2 linked regions of the Anolis sagrei genome follow. The protein of the gene in region 1 interacts with the protein of each later gene in a pairwise test. Links are inferred from orthologs where the notes say so. Each region holds a gene or a part of one and is shown in the gene's direction. Other genes may lie near its edges.

Evidence for each region.
Region 2: the proteins of PSD4 (region 1) and LDLRAP1 interact in binary tests that used the Homo sapiens proteins (3 or more experiments, as listed by UniProt). The two-hybrid records come from large-scale screens. The link is inferred for Anolis sagrei from reciprocal best matches to the Homo sapiens genes PSD4 and LDLRAP1.

The regions. Positions count from the first base shown.
Region 1 is NC_090027.1:20,934,167-20,941,323, reverse strand, and holds the start of PSD4 (PH and SEC7 domain-containing protein 4), read left to right. Parts: upstream 1-4,061; 5' UTR 4,062-4,267; intron 4,268-7,157. UniProt on the Homo sapiens protein: Guanine nucleotide exchange factor for ARF6 and ARL14/ARF7. Through ARL14 activation, controls the movement of MHC class II-containing vesicles along the actin cytoskeleton in dendritic cells. Involved in membrane recycling.
Region 2 is NC_090034.1:75,620,375-75,628,325, reverse strand, and holds the start of LDLRAP1 (low density lipoprotein receptor adapter protein 1), read left to right. Parts: upstream 1-4,738; 5' UTR 4,739-4,862; coding exon 4,863-4,947; intron 4,948-7,951. UniProt on the Homo sapiens protein: Adapter protein (clathrin-associated sorting protein (CLASP)) required for efficient endocytosis of the LDL receptor (LDLR) in polarized cells such as hepatocytes and lymphocytes, but not in non-polarized cells (fibroblasts).

The DNA.
Region 1 (7,157 bases):
AAGAGGATTTTCTTAAATAAAGAAATAGTCTCCCTCCCTCGCTACAATATAAAATGGTGGCAGTGGTGGGATAGAAAAGAAAGGTCTCCCCTGCCACACAACAGTGCCTATAATTCCTCACAGCCATGTTCCAGAAGCATTCTCTTCTAACGTTTCACCTGCATCTATGGCAGGCATCCTCAGAGGTTGTGAAATTTCAGGAGTAGAACAATAATTGTAAAGTAAGGACCACACTATTAAACATGAATAACTAACACTTTCAAACTAGGAGCACTTTCCCTGTCCTCTGCAGCACCAAAACTTGGCTTTGTTGGTAGATGGGAGGGAAGGAAGGGCCTTTGCAGCAAAAGTGGGTTGTTGTTGCTGTTGCTGCAACTGCTTCTGCTGTTTTTGTATGCCTTCCAGCTGTTTTCAGTATCCTCCTTGCAACTATACTCCTAAATAAATCCCCAGAAGTCGCATCAGGATCATCCAACAGAACTTTTGTATCTCACCTGTCTGCTTTTCCAAAGTTTTGTGTCTCCACAAAACTGTAGTATTTTGGGTGCTTTTTTTCATTTTATGCTTTAAATTGTACCGCTCTTTGTTGTTTTTTCCCATCTCTTCTTATGCTACTCACCAAAGAGCAATATGATAAGTGTTAATAAAAAAAATTAACACCATCAGGGCTGGATTGCTCTTCACGGCGTGCATTTCCTTGCACCTGCCTCTCTTCATTTTGATCATCATTTCCTGGGTTCATTAGAGTGGAACGCGTTCCGCTCCATGACAGGATGTTTGCTTCACTCTAGAACCCTGAACCAGGTCGTGGTGTTTCTTTTTCGACATTTATTTTTCTATGAAGTGATTACAGATTAATGAAAACCTAAGGAAGGAAAAGGAAAATGCAGCTTTTCCTGGGTTGGGGGGGAGGCTCCTGCTAAGGCTGAGAGGAAGACCAACCAATTGCTAGATGGAGGGGCTGTCTAGGTTTCCCAGGTCAGATGCACCACCAGGGGCTACAATTATTATTATTATTATTATTATTATTATTATTATTATTATTATTATATAAAAAATAATATAAAATAAATAATAATAATAATAATAATAATGATAATAATAATGTATTGTCGAAGGCTTTCATGGCTGGAATCACTAGGTTCTTGTGGGGTTTTTTCGGGCTATAGAGCCATGTTCTAGAGGCATTTCTCCTGACGTTTCGCCTGCATCTATGGCAAGCATCCTCAGAGGTAGTGAGGTCTCAGGAGGATGCTGAGGATACCTCTGAGGATGCTTGCCATAGATGCAGGCGAAACGTCGGGAGAAATGCCTCTAGAACATGGCTCTATAGCCCGAAAAAACCCACAAGAACCTAATAATAATAATAATAATAATAATAATAATAATAATAAAAGAGTCAGAAAGGTTTTGAAGAGCAAATTAAATGGCAGAAATACAATTAAGGCTCTCAACACCTGGGCCATCCCCGTCATTAGATACACTGCTGGGATTGTGAACTGGACACAAACAGAGCTGGATGATCTGGACAGAAAAACAAGAAAACTGATGACAATCCACTACGCATTACATCCGCGTAGTGATGTCAACAGACTTTACCTGCCCAGAAAATCAGGAGGCAGAGAGAGGGCTTCTGCAAGTGAAACAAACGGTAGAAGAAGAAAAACATGTGCTGGCAGATTATGTGAAAGGCAGTCAAGAACCAACATTGAGGGAAGTAAATAATAGAAAGCTGCTTCAAGTGCAAAAGACAAAGAGTGAATACCGTAAAAACACAATGCAGAGCAGAAGAGGAAACTGGCAAAAGAAGGCTCTCCATGGACAATTCCTGGCAAAAATTGAGAGCCAAATGGACAAAGAAAAAACATGGCTGTGGCTCACAAATGGAACTTTGAAAAAGGAGACGTAGGCCCTGATTCTGGCAGCCCAAGAACAAGCCATTCGAACCAATGCCATCAAAGCCAGAACTGAAAAGTCAACAACAGATCCCAAATGGAGACTCTGTAAGGAAGCAGATGAAACAATAGATCACATCCTCAGCTGCTGCAAGAAGATCGCGCAGACAGACTCCAAGCAGAGGCAGAACACCGTTGCTCAGATGATCCATTGGAAGTTATGCCACAAACACCATCTGCCTGCGACAAAGAACTGGTGGGATCACAAGCTGGAAAAAGTTACAGAGAATGAACACGCCAAACTCCTCTGGGACTTCCGGATTCAGACTGATAGTGTTTTGGAGCGCAAGACTCCTGACCTCACAATCATGTTAAAAAAAACAAAGTATGGATTGTTGATATTGCAATCCCAGGCGACAGCAGGATTGAAGAGAAGCAACTGGAAAAGATGACATGATATGAGGATTTAAAGATCGAACTGCAAAAACTTTGGCACAAGCCAGTTAAGGTGGTCCCAGTGGTGATCAGCACACTGGGTGCAGTGACTAAAGACCTTGGCCTGCACTTAAACACAATCAGTGCTGACAAAATTACCATCTGCCAGTTGCAAAAGGCCATTTTACTGGGGTCTGCATGCATTATTCGCCGATACATCACACAGTCCTAGACACTTGAGAAGTGTCTGACGTGTGATCCAATACAACAGCCAGCAGAGTGTCTGCTGTGGACTCATCTTCTTGTGCTTCAAAATAATAATAATAATAATAATAATAATAATAATAATAATAATAACAATAAATCACACAGTCCTAGATGCTTGGGAAGTGTCCAAAGTGTGATCCAATACAACAGCCAGCAGAGTGTCTGCTGTGGACTCATCTTGTTGTGCTTCAAATAATAATAATAATAATAATAATAATAATAATAATAATAATAATAATAATAGAATATAATGATATATAATAATAATATTGTAATATAATAATACTGATTTAATTAACTATAATACTACTGAATATATAAAATATATTCTGTTTTATTATTCTACATTTGTATATTTTAAGTTGTAATGTTTTAGATTGTTAGACAATTTGAGTCTCTGTATGGAGCAATAAAGCGGTGTGTATATATATATATATATATATATATATATATAGAACCCCCTGATGGGGCAGTTGGTTAAACCGCTGAGCTGCTGAACTTGCTGACCAAAAGGTAAGCAGTTCGAATATGAGGAGCGGGGTGAGCTCCTCCTGTTAGCCCCAGCTTCTGCCAAGCTAGCAGTTCAAAAAGATGCAAATGTGAGTAGATCAATTGGTACCGCTCTGCTAGGAAGGTAAGGCTACTCCATGCAGTCATGCCAGTGGCTCCATAGCCTTGGAGGTGTCTATGCACAATGCCGGTTCTTTGCTTTAGAAATGGAGATGAGCACCAACCCCCAGAGTCAGGCACAGCTGGACTTAATGTCAGGGGAAAACCTTTACATATACATGCACAGGGCCGTAGCCAGAGGGAGGGGTTTAAAAGTTCAACCCTGTCCTGAAATGTGTCAGGTTAAAAAAGAATTTACTCATAAATTGGTTGACCAGTTAAAATTCATGAATAAACCAGGGTTGGGGGGGGGGGGGGGTTAGAACCCTTAAACCCCCTCCCTCTGGCTACGGCCCTGGATACATATATATGTGTGTGTATAAATGTACTGTTCGTTTGTGGGATTAACATAACTCAAAAACCACTGGATGAATTGACACCAAATTTGGACAAAATACACCTATCAGGCCAATGAGTGACCATCACTCATAAAAACATGGAAAACACAGCAGAAGAGACTTAAAAAGCCAAAAAATAAAAAAATACATTTTAACGCATATGCAAAACCACTGCACAAACATACATATATACACATATACACAAATATATACACACACAAACACCTATACACAGACAGCCACAGCAAAGTGTGGCAGGGGACGGCTAGTATATATATACAACTAAAAATTCAGCAATAACCCCAAAGGGTGTTGGGGAAGGCACGCGACCTTGGGTCGCTCTCTTTGGTGTCAAAGTGGCTCCACAAGAGGAAGAGGAGGAAGCCGGGCCCCTGAATTGCATCAGGTTTCTGTGCGGTTGCCTCTACCGCTGGGACTTCCTGTTCAGAAGACAAGTGTTAGCGTCAGACGAGCCAAGTGTGGCAAGCGGGGGCCTTGCTTTGGGGGCCCCGGAGAAAGGGGAAGGCCCCGTCCTTCTGGGCCTTAGATGGTCCGTTTGCCATTCAGGAGGAGCCTGCTTCACAAGAGGCCCATTCCCTAAAGAGAAGCAGAGCCGAGCCACGGAGGAGCATCTGGCTCAGGAGCCCAAGCCGTCTGTATCTGGTGAGTCTATAGAAGGAGCAGGAGAAGGTCTCCAATGGACTACCTAGAGCTCAGATTGGGGGTCTTCACTAGGACCTTCCAAGGAGACTCCATTGGGTTACCTAGAGCTCAGACTGGGGGTCTTCACTAGAACCTTCCAAGGAGACTCCATTGGGTTACCTAGAGCTCAGATTAGGAGTCTTCACTAGGACCTTCCAAGGAGACTCCATTGGGCTACCTAGAGCTCAGATTGGGGGTCTTCACTAGGACCTTCCAAGGATACTTCATTGGGCTACCTAGAGCTCGGATTGGGGGGTCTTGACTGGGACCTTCCAAGGATACTCTATTGGGCTTTCTAGAGTTCAGATTGGGGGTCTTCACTAGGACCTTCCAAGGACACCCCATTAGGTTACCTAGAACTCAGATTGGGGGTCTTCACTAGGACCTTCCAAGGATACTCCATTGGGTTACCTAGAACTCAGATTGGGGATCATCACTGAGACCTTCCAAGGATACTCTATTGGGCTACCTAGAGCTCAGATTGGGGGTCTTCACTAGGACCTTCCAAGGAGACTTCTTAAGCTGCAGGAAACAGAAGGCGAAGAAGGAAAACAAAAAGGAAGAGGAGGATGGGCGGTTTTGGAAAATGCCATTCATAACTTTTTGGGGGAAACTACGAATCTTTTGGAAAGGCATGACCTTGTTAGAGATTGTAACCTTTCATAAAGTATTATCTTCCTTAGAATTCAAAACTCACTTGTGTCAACCTTCTCCTTAGTGGCAAATATCTACAAGTATTCATGCAAATTGGTCTCTGAACTGTTAGGAACAAAGATATGCCAATACACAAAAACATATATAGCAGAGTTTCAGAAGTGTCCTTTTCAGTTGACCCCCAAAATCTACTCTCCCTCAAAACATCTTAGTTTAAATCATGCTTTCAAGAAACCAAAAATAAGTAGATGTCATTAAATGTAACAGTTACTCACAAACATGTATTCAGCATGCATGTATATTGCATATCAATCCATTTACAGATAGAATTTTAAAAAGTGATATTTTTTGTGATGTGTCATCTGTTATATGTCTCTTTGTTGGTATTGAAAGTCTGCCATATGTGTTAGAAACCACCCAGGAAGATAAGGCAGTCAATAAATAAATTATTATTATTATTATTATTATTATTATTATTATTATTTGATATGCAACAAGATGAGTCCACAGCGAACAAGATCCCTATGCTGGCTGTTGTATTTGAACACAAAAGATCCCAGTAAGGTGGCCTTTTGCAGCTGACAGATGGTAATTTTGTCAGTGCCGATTGTTTTCAAGTGCAGGCCACGGTCTTGAGGCACTGCACCCAGTGTGCTGATCACAACTGGGACTTGCTTGACTGGCTTGTGCCAAAATCTTTGCAGTTTGATCTTTAAATTCTCATATCGTGTAAGTTTTTCCAGTTGCTTCTTGTCAATTCTGCTGTCACTTGGGATGATGATTACTTTCTCTGTGCAGATAACACAGGGCATCTTTCTTACAATCAATAGTCCAAAGCCTAAAGCATCTCACTGTTCTGAGAGTCTAATGGAGTCTTTTCTCTGAAGCATTCTGTTTCTACTTCTAAAATATATTATATACAATAATATAATAATAAATATAATTGTAATTATATAATGTAATATTATAATATAATAAAAATATAATATGCTATAGCAGGATGTCCCTCCTGCAGATAATTATTAATAATATTATAATAATTTAACACAATAATACAATAATAATAATATAATAATAATAATATAATATAATGTGCTATAGCAGGGTGTCTCTCCTGCAGATAATTACTAATAATAATACAATACAACAATATAATAATAAATACAATAATAATATATTATATTATAATAATAATGCATGTGCTATAGCAGGCTGTCCCTCCTACTGATAATTAATAATAATAAGAAGAAGAACAATAATAAAATAAATATAATTATAATAATATAATATAATAATGTGCTATAGCAGAATGTCCCTCCTTCAGATAATTATTAATAATAATATATAATAATTACAATAATAAACTAAATATAATTATTATAATATAATATAATATAATATAATATAATATATTGTGCTATAGCAGAATGTTCCTCTTGCAGATAATTATTAATAATACAATACAATAATATAATAATTATTATAATAATCATATAATATATTATAATATAATAATATAACATGTTATAGCAAGATGTCCCTGCTGCAATTATAATAATATAATAGTTACAATAATAGAATAATAAATATAATAATATAATATAATAAAGTGCTATAGCAAAATGTCGCTCTTGCAGATAATAATTGGTAATATAATACAATAATATAATATAATTATTGTATAATAATAATATAACGTGCTATAGCAAGATGTCCCTGCTGCAAATAATTAATAATATAATATAATTACAATAACAGAATAATAATAATAATAATAATAATAATAATAATAATCTATATAAATAAAATGCAATGTTCATTTGTGGGATTAACATAACTCAAAAACCACTGGATGAATTGACATCAAATTTGGACACAATACACCTCTCAGGCCAATGAATGACCATGACACATAAAAACACTGGAAAACACAGCAGAAGAGATTTAAGAATCCAAAAAATAAAAAATACATTACAATGCATGTGCAAAACCACATATTTATTTATTTATTTCGGGTACTTTTACCCCACCCTTCTCAACCCCGGATGGAGGACTCAGGGCGGCTTACAGAAAAGGCACAATTTGATGCCTGTACAAAATTACACACAATATACAAAACCATAATTAAAAACAGTTATCACAGTTAAAACAAACAACAACCAGTACATAACACATCATATAAAACATCATATCTACT
Region 2 (7,951 bases), on another chromosome or scaffold:
AATAACACTTTATTTATATTTATTTATTTATTTATTTATTTGACTTGTATACCGCTACTCCCAATTTGGCTCGGAGCAGTTTACAGCAGTAGATTAAAAGAATACAATTAACTTTAAAATACAATAAAAACAAGAACAGACATAGTCTCGAGTTATTCACCCATCAAAAGCTTGTCGGAAGAAAAAGGTTTTACAGGCTTTCCGAAAAGCAAGTAGGTCTCAGATAGATCGGGTTTCAACTGGCAAGGCATTCCATAAATAAGGGGCCACAATCGAGAAGGCTCTCTGCCTAGTAGAGGACAGATGATAAGTCCGGATGTTGGGGACTTCAAGCAAATTTTGGTCTTCGGACCGAAGTAATCTCTGGGGTTGGTAGGGGGATAAGTGGGCCCTCAGGTACGCCGGCCCCAGACCATATAAGGCCTTAAAGGTTAATACCAGCACCTTGAAAGTAATCCGGTACTCAATTGGTAGCCAGTGCAGCTGTTGTAGAACTGGGGTGATACGACACCTCACCGGCACCCTGGCGAGAAGACGAGCCGCCGCATTTTGCACCAGCTTCAGTTTCCGGATCACTGACAAAGGAAGGCCAATGTAGAGGGCGTTACAGTAGTCAAGCCTCGAGCTGACCATTGCCTGGATCACCGTAGCCAGGTCGTTCCTAGATAGGTAGGGAGCCAGTCGCCTAGCAGATGGAAAAATGCAGATCTGCTCACAGCAGAGACCTGGGCCTCCATTGTGAGCAGAGGGTCCAATAAGACACCAAGACTTTTTACAGCCTATCTCCACACTATCTCCGAGGGATTGTGATACTTATATACAAGCAGTCCCCGAGTTATAGATATTCAGTTTCCATACAACTCATAGTTAAGAAGGGGTGGGACAACAGGAAGTGAGAGAAATCTAGCCCTCGGAAGGAAAATTCACTCCTAGAAGAGTTATCATCATGGGGAAAAGGTTTCTCAACTAAAGCTTTATCACCAATCCTGGTTTCCACAACAAGCAAATTTTTCAAAAGCCAATGATCACAGGGGCAGAAAGTGAGGTGAAATCTTCTGAACAGGGGCACAGGCAGCAAAACAAACACCACAGGAGTGTTAACCCTTCCCTATGCTATCTAAAGCTAATCTATATACATATTTGGCTTGAATTACCCTTCAAAAAATGGACCTGTTCTAACTTGCATACAAATTCAAGTTGAGAAGAAACCTTCAGTATTATTATTATTATTTTACTGACACAAAAACACAGTATGTCACAGCAAATGAGATATATATGCTGGATTTCATATCACAAAATCACAAGTTGAACACTTCCAAAGTGTCTAGGACTGTGTGATGTATTTTCGAATGATGCACACAGCTCCAAGTAAGGTGGCCTTTTGCAGTTGATAGATGATGATTTTGTCAATGTTTATTGTTTTCAAATGCTGGCTGAGATCTTTTGGCACGACACCCAGTGTGCCGATTACCACTGGGAACACCTGTACTGGTTTATGCTAGAGCAGTGGTTCTCAACCTTCCTAATGCCGTGACCCCTTAATACAGTTCCTCATGTTGTGGTGACCCCCAACCATAACATTATTTTTGTTGCTACTTCATAACTGTAATTTTGCTACTGTTATGAATCACAATGTAAATATCTCATACTTTCATTCACTGGACCAAATTTGACACTAATACCCGATACGTCCAAATTTGAATACTGGTGGGACTGGGGGGGATTGACTTTGTCATTTGGGAGTTGTAGTTGATGGGATTTATAGTTAACCTACATGCAAAAAGCATTCTGAACTCCACCACCAATGGAACTGAACCAAACCTGGCACACAGAAGTCCCATGACCAACATAAAATACTAGAAGTGTTTGGTGAGCATTGACCTTGAGTTTTGGAGTTGTAGTTCACCTACATCCAGAGAGCATGGTGGACTCAAACAGTGATGGATCTGGACCAAATTTGGCACAGATACTCAATATGCCCAAATGTGAACACTGGTGGAGTTTGGGGGGGGGGGGGAGACCTTGACATTTGGGAGTTGTAGTTGCTGGGATTTACAATTCACCTACAATCAAAAAGCATTCTGAACCACACCAATGATAGAATTGGGCCCAACTTCCCAAAACAGAACCCCTATGACCAACAGAAAATACTGTGTTTCTGATGGTCTTTGGCGACCCCTTTGGTATCCCCTCATGACCCCCCCAGGCAGGACATAGTGGATAAGCATACAGATGTGGAGTTGTCTGTTCTGCTCCACAGTCACACAAGGTGTGGGATTCTTTTAGGTAGTGCCATTTTGCCAGGTTGTCTTTTGATCTGCCCACTCCACTTCTGAATTTGTTCAGGGACTTCCAAGTTACCCATCCTTGATTTGCCCCTGAAGGAAGAGCCTCGTGGGTGGGGGTGGGGGTGGGGGGCATCCAGTTCGGATTTCTTGGTTGAGCTGCCCAGAGGGATACCCCAAGGATATTAGGCAAGCCCCCACATTGGCAGTCTTTAGGAGGAGCTTGAAAACATGGTTGTTCCAATGTGCCTTCCCTGAATAAAAGAACAATAATTTATAACTTTATTCTATTTGTTGGGACACTCAACCCTACCTTGCCCTCTAAAAAACCCTGTTTAGATTCATTTTACTGCTGTTCACACCCAGAGTTTTAAATTGTGAATCTATTAGATTTGGCCCTGCCCACAGTGTTGGATCTTTGTGTTTTTAAATGTTTTGTTTTACTGCTGATATGTTATTTATAATGGTTTTGTATTGTATTTTTCCCCTTTATTTTATTGCTGTGTTGATTTACTGATGTATTGTATCATTGGGCTTGGCCTCATGTAAGTTGCCCCGAGTCCCCTTGGGAAGATGGTGGTGGGGTATAAATAAAGTTTCATTATTATTATTATTATTATTATTATTAGTGCTCAACCTTATTTCTCTCACATTAAGCAGCAACTTCCCGTTGCACATCGGGGGGGGGGGGGGGCGGTGGCAATGCCAGCTAGCTTGTGTAGGTTTAAGACATCCTGTGATTATTCTGCATGTTTCATTCCATGCTATGTAATGGCCAAGGAGCTCTGGCATGAGCTGGTCCAGGAGGTCACGAAGAGTGAGTCGGATGTGACTGAACGAATAAACAACAACAGTTTTCCCTAACAGAAGGTGTCTCTGATAACCCAGTTCAAAGCAGAGATTGCGGATCATTTGAAGCCCTAACTCTCCCCGCCCCTTGGCTACAGTCCTGGCTGAGACTGTTGGAAATAGTGGGAGCTAGTCCAACCCCCTTCTGCCTTCATGCAGTCAAAGCACAATCAAAGTGCCCCCAACAGGTGGCCATCCAACCCCAACAACAACAACAGAATTGGAAGAGACCACATGGGCCATCTAGTCCAGGGGTCCTCAAACTAAGGCTGGAGGGCCGGAAACGGCCCTCCAAGGTCATTTACCCGGCCCTCGCTCAGGGTCAGTCTAAGTCTGAAACGACTTAAAAGCACACAACTATAATAACAATCCCATCTCACCAGCCAAAAGCAGGCCCACACTTCCTACTGAAATACTAATAAGTCTATATTTGTTAAAATTGTTCTTAATTTTAATTATTGTATTGTTTTAAAGTGTTTTTGCACTACAAATAACATATGTACAGTGTGCATAGGAATTCATTCATTTTTTTTTAAAAAATATAATCCGGCTCTCCAACAGTTTGAGGGACTGTGACATGGCCCTCTGTTTACAAAGTTTGAGGATCCCTGATCTAGTTCAATCCCCTTCTACCTTCATGCAGCAAAAGCACAATGAAAGCACTCCTGACAGATGGCCATCCAGCCTCAACAACAACACCGACAGAATTGGAAGAGACCGCATGGGCCATCTAGTCCAACCCCTTTCTGCCCTCATGCAGTCAAAGCACAATCAAAGCGCCCCCGACAGATGGCCATTCAATCTCAACAGCAACAACAACAGAATTGGAAGAGACCACATGGGCAATCTAGTCCAACCCTCTTCTGCCTTCGTGCAGCAAAAGCACAATGAACGCAACCCTGACAGATGGCCAACCAGCCTCAATGACAACAACAACATGGACCATCTAGTGCAACCCCCTACTTCCTTCATGCAGTAAAAGCACAATGAAAGCACCTCTGACAAATGGCCATCCAGCCACAACAACAGAATTGGAAGAAACCACATGGACCATCAAGTCCATCAAGTCCAATCTCCTTCTGCCTTCGTGCCCCAAAAGCACAATGAAAGCACCCCTGACAGATGACCATCCAGTTTCAACAACAACAAGAGTTGGAAGAGACCCTTAGGCCTCTTCCACACTGCCCCTGTATTCCAGGATCTGATTCCAGATTATCTGCTTTAAATTGGATTATATGAGTCCCCAGTGCCAGATAATCTGGGATAAGCAGATAATCTGGGCTCAGATCCTGGGACAGAGAGTGGTGTGGAAGAGGCCTGAATTCCAGTGTGGGGAAATGATTGATATGTGTCTCAGGGCCCTTCCATACAGCCATATAACCCTGAACATCAAGACAGATTATCCAGATGATCTGAGTCCAAAAAACCTGGAGGGAAGGCTCAGGTTGTCCCCTGCCTGGCCTAGAGAGTCCCTTCTGCGGGACAGCGGCGCCTGTTGCTGCTGGGTGCGCCTTCCCGGCTTGGCACCGGCAGGAAGCGGAGGAGGAGTCCCCGGTTGCCCGGCCTGCCTTTCCCTCCCCTTCCCTGCCCTGCCCTCCCTCCTTTCCCCAGGAGATCCTCCCTCTGCGAAGGAGGGGCCAGTGCCGAGGAGGACGCACAGGAAAGCGAAAAAAAGAAACAGAAGAAAGTTTGGCCGAGACTTTGGAGACTTTGTTTCTCCTTTGCGGCATGGACGCCCTCAAATCCGCCGGGCGGGCCATCATCCGGAGCCCGAGCTTCGCCAAACCCGGCTGGGGAGGAGGCAAGCACAAAAGTGAGTTAGTTTCCCCCATTTTTCCAAAGTGATCCCCCCTTTTGGACCCCCCTCTTGAGCCTTTCCAAAGGAAAGAGTCTGGAGTTCTGCTGCGCCCTCCGTGCGCCCTCGGTGCGCTTTTGGAGAGGTTTAGGGGGACCGCCTAAACCGCCTCGCTTTGGGACCTTGCTCCGGGTCGAGGGGATCCGTTTCCTGATCCGATTACAGAGAGGAAACTCCACTCCCAGGATCCGATCTCACTGGGTGGGGGGAATCTCCGTCGAGGGTTTTTTTCCGGATCTTAACTCGCCTCGGATGTTTCTCGGTGGCTAAAGTTTGGGGAACTTTTCCCCGGCGCTCAGTCATTGCTTTGTCAGCAAACTTTTTGTTTGTTTCAGTCTCATTACATTAGAGAGAAAGATCTACTGAAAATCCGGTTTCTGGGCTTTGTAGTTTAGGGAGGAGCCTTTCACAGCCTCACTAAACTACAAACCCCAGCATTCTGCAGAAGGCAGAAACCGGATTTTAAGTGGATTTTCTCTCTCTAATGTGATGAGAAGCCATAGAAACAAACCACAGAAAGCCATAGAAACAAACTTCATCACACTAGAGAATGAATCCACTTAAAATCCGGTTTCTGGGGTTTGTAGTTTAGGGAGGAGCCTTTCACAGCCTCACTAAACTACAAACCCCAGCATTCTGCAGAAGGCAGAAACCGGATTTTAAGTGGATTCATTCTCTAGTGTGATGAAGTTTGTTTCTATGGCTTCCATGGTTTAGAGCAGTGGTTCTCAACCTGGGGGTCGGGACCCCTGGAAGGGTCACAAGAGAGTGTCAGAGGGGTCACTAAAGACCACCAGAAAACACAGTATTTTCTGTTGGTCATGGGGGTTCTATGTGGGAAGTTTGGCCCAATTCTGTCATTGGTGGGGTTCAGAATTCTCTTTAATTGCAGGTGAACTATAAATCCCAGCAACTACAACTCCCAAGATATCAAAGTCTATTTCCCCCAAATTCCACCAGTATTCACATCTGGGCATCTTGAGTATTCATGCCAAGTTTAGTCCAGATCCATCATTGTTTGAGTCCGCAGTGCTCTCTGGATATAAGCAAACTACAACTCCAAAACTCAAGTCAATGCCCACCAAAATCCTTCCAGTATTTTCTGTTGGTCAGGGGAGTTCTGTGTGCCAAGTTTGGTTCAATTCCATCATTGGTGGAGTTCAGAATGCTCTTTGATTGTAGGTGAACTATAAATCCCAGCAACTACAACTCCCAAGATATCAAATTCCCAATTCCATCATTGGTGGAGTTCAGAATGCTCTACAATCAAAGAGCTCTGTGATGCTCTTTGATTGTAGGTGAACTATAAATCCCAGCAACTACAACTCCCAAGATATCAAATCCCCAAATTCCACCAGTATTCACATCTGGGCATCTTGAGTATTATTGCCAAGTTTAGACCAGATCCATCATTGTTTGAGTCCACAGTGCTCTCTGGATGTAGGCGAACTACAACTCCAATACTCAAGGTCAATGCCCACCAAACCCTTCCAGTATTTTCTGTTGGTCATGGGAGTTCTGTGTGCCAAGTTTGGCCCAATTCCATCGCTGGTGGAGTTCAGAATGCTCTTTGATTGCAAGTGAACTATAAATCCCAGCACCTACAACTCCCAAATGTCAAAGTTTATTTCCCCCAAAGTCCACAAGTGTTCACATTTAGGTATACTGAGTATTATTGCCAAGTTTAGTCCAGATCCATCATTGTTTGAGTCCACAGTGCTCTCTGGATGTAGGCGAACTACAACTCCAAAACTCAAGGTCAATGCCCACCAAAATCCTTCCAGTATTTTCTGTTGGTCACAGGAGTTCTGTGTCCCAAGTTTGGTTCAATTCCATCATTGGTGGAGTTCAGAATGCTCTTTGATTGTAGGTGAACTATAAATCCCAGCACCTACAACTCCCAAATGCCAATGTCTATTTCCCCCAAAGTCCACAAGTGTTCACATTTAGGTATACTGACTATTATTGCCAAGTTTAGTCCAGATCCATCATTGTTTGAGTCCACAGTGCTCTCTGGATGTAGACGAACTACAACTCCAAAACTCAAGGTCAATGCCCACCAAAATCCTTCCAGTATTTTCTGTTGGTCACGGGAGTTCTGTGTGCCAAGTTTGGTTCAATTCCATCATTGGTGGAGTTCAGAATGCTCTTTGATTGTAGGTGAACTATAAATCCCAGCAACTACAACTCCCAAATGACAAAATCAACCGCCCAACCCCACCAGTATTGAAACATGGGCGTATCGGGTATTTGTGCCAAATTTGATCCAGTGAATGAAAATACACCCTGTGTATCAGATATTTACATGACGATTCATAACAGCAGCAAAATGACAGTTATGAAGTAGGAAGGAAAATAATGTTATGGTTGGGGGTCACCACCACATGAGGAACTGTATTAAGGGGTCGCAGCATGAGGAAGGTTGAGAACCATTGGTTTAGAGGACCTTTCTGTCCTCTCTTTTTCTCATCTGGGGTGTCTTTCCAAAGGTTTGCAACAGTTTAATAAGGACCACCAAAGATTCACAGCAACCCTGCCCCAATCCCTGGATCCTTCGCCTCTAGAGCAGAGCTTTCCAAACTTTGTCATGTTGGGGACACACTAGAGCAGGCATGGGCCCTCCAGGTGTTTTGGACTTCAACTCCCACAATTCCTAGCAGCCTCAGGTCCCTTCATTAGCATTTGAAGGCCTGCCTGAGCCTGGAAATTACAACAGCAAAACAACAGAGAGGAAACAACCAGGCACATCTTAACACCTCTCAGCAAGAGATTTTCCCAGGCTCAGGCAGGCCTTCAAATGCTAATGAAGGTGGTCAGTTGAAACATTCACACCTAGCTCCAGCAGAGAAAAGCTCTTTGCCCCACCCCAGCCATTCCACAGATATATAAACCCATTGTCCTAATTCCAACAGACCTCACTACCTCTGAGGATGCTTGCCATAGATGCAGGCGAAACATCAGG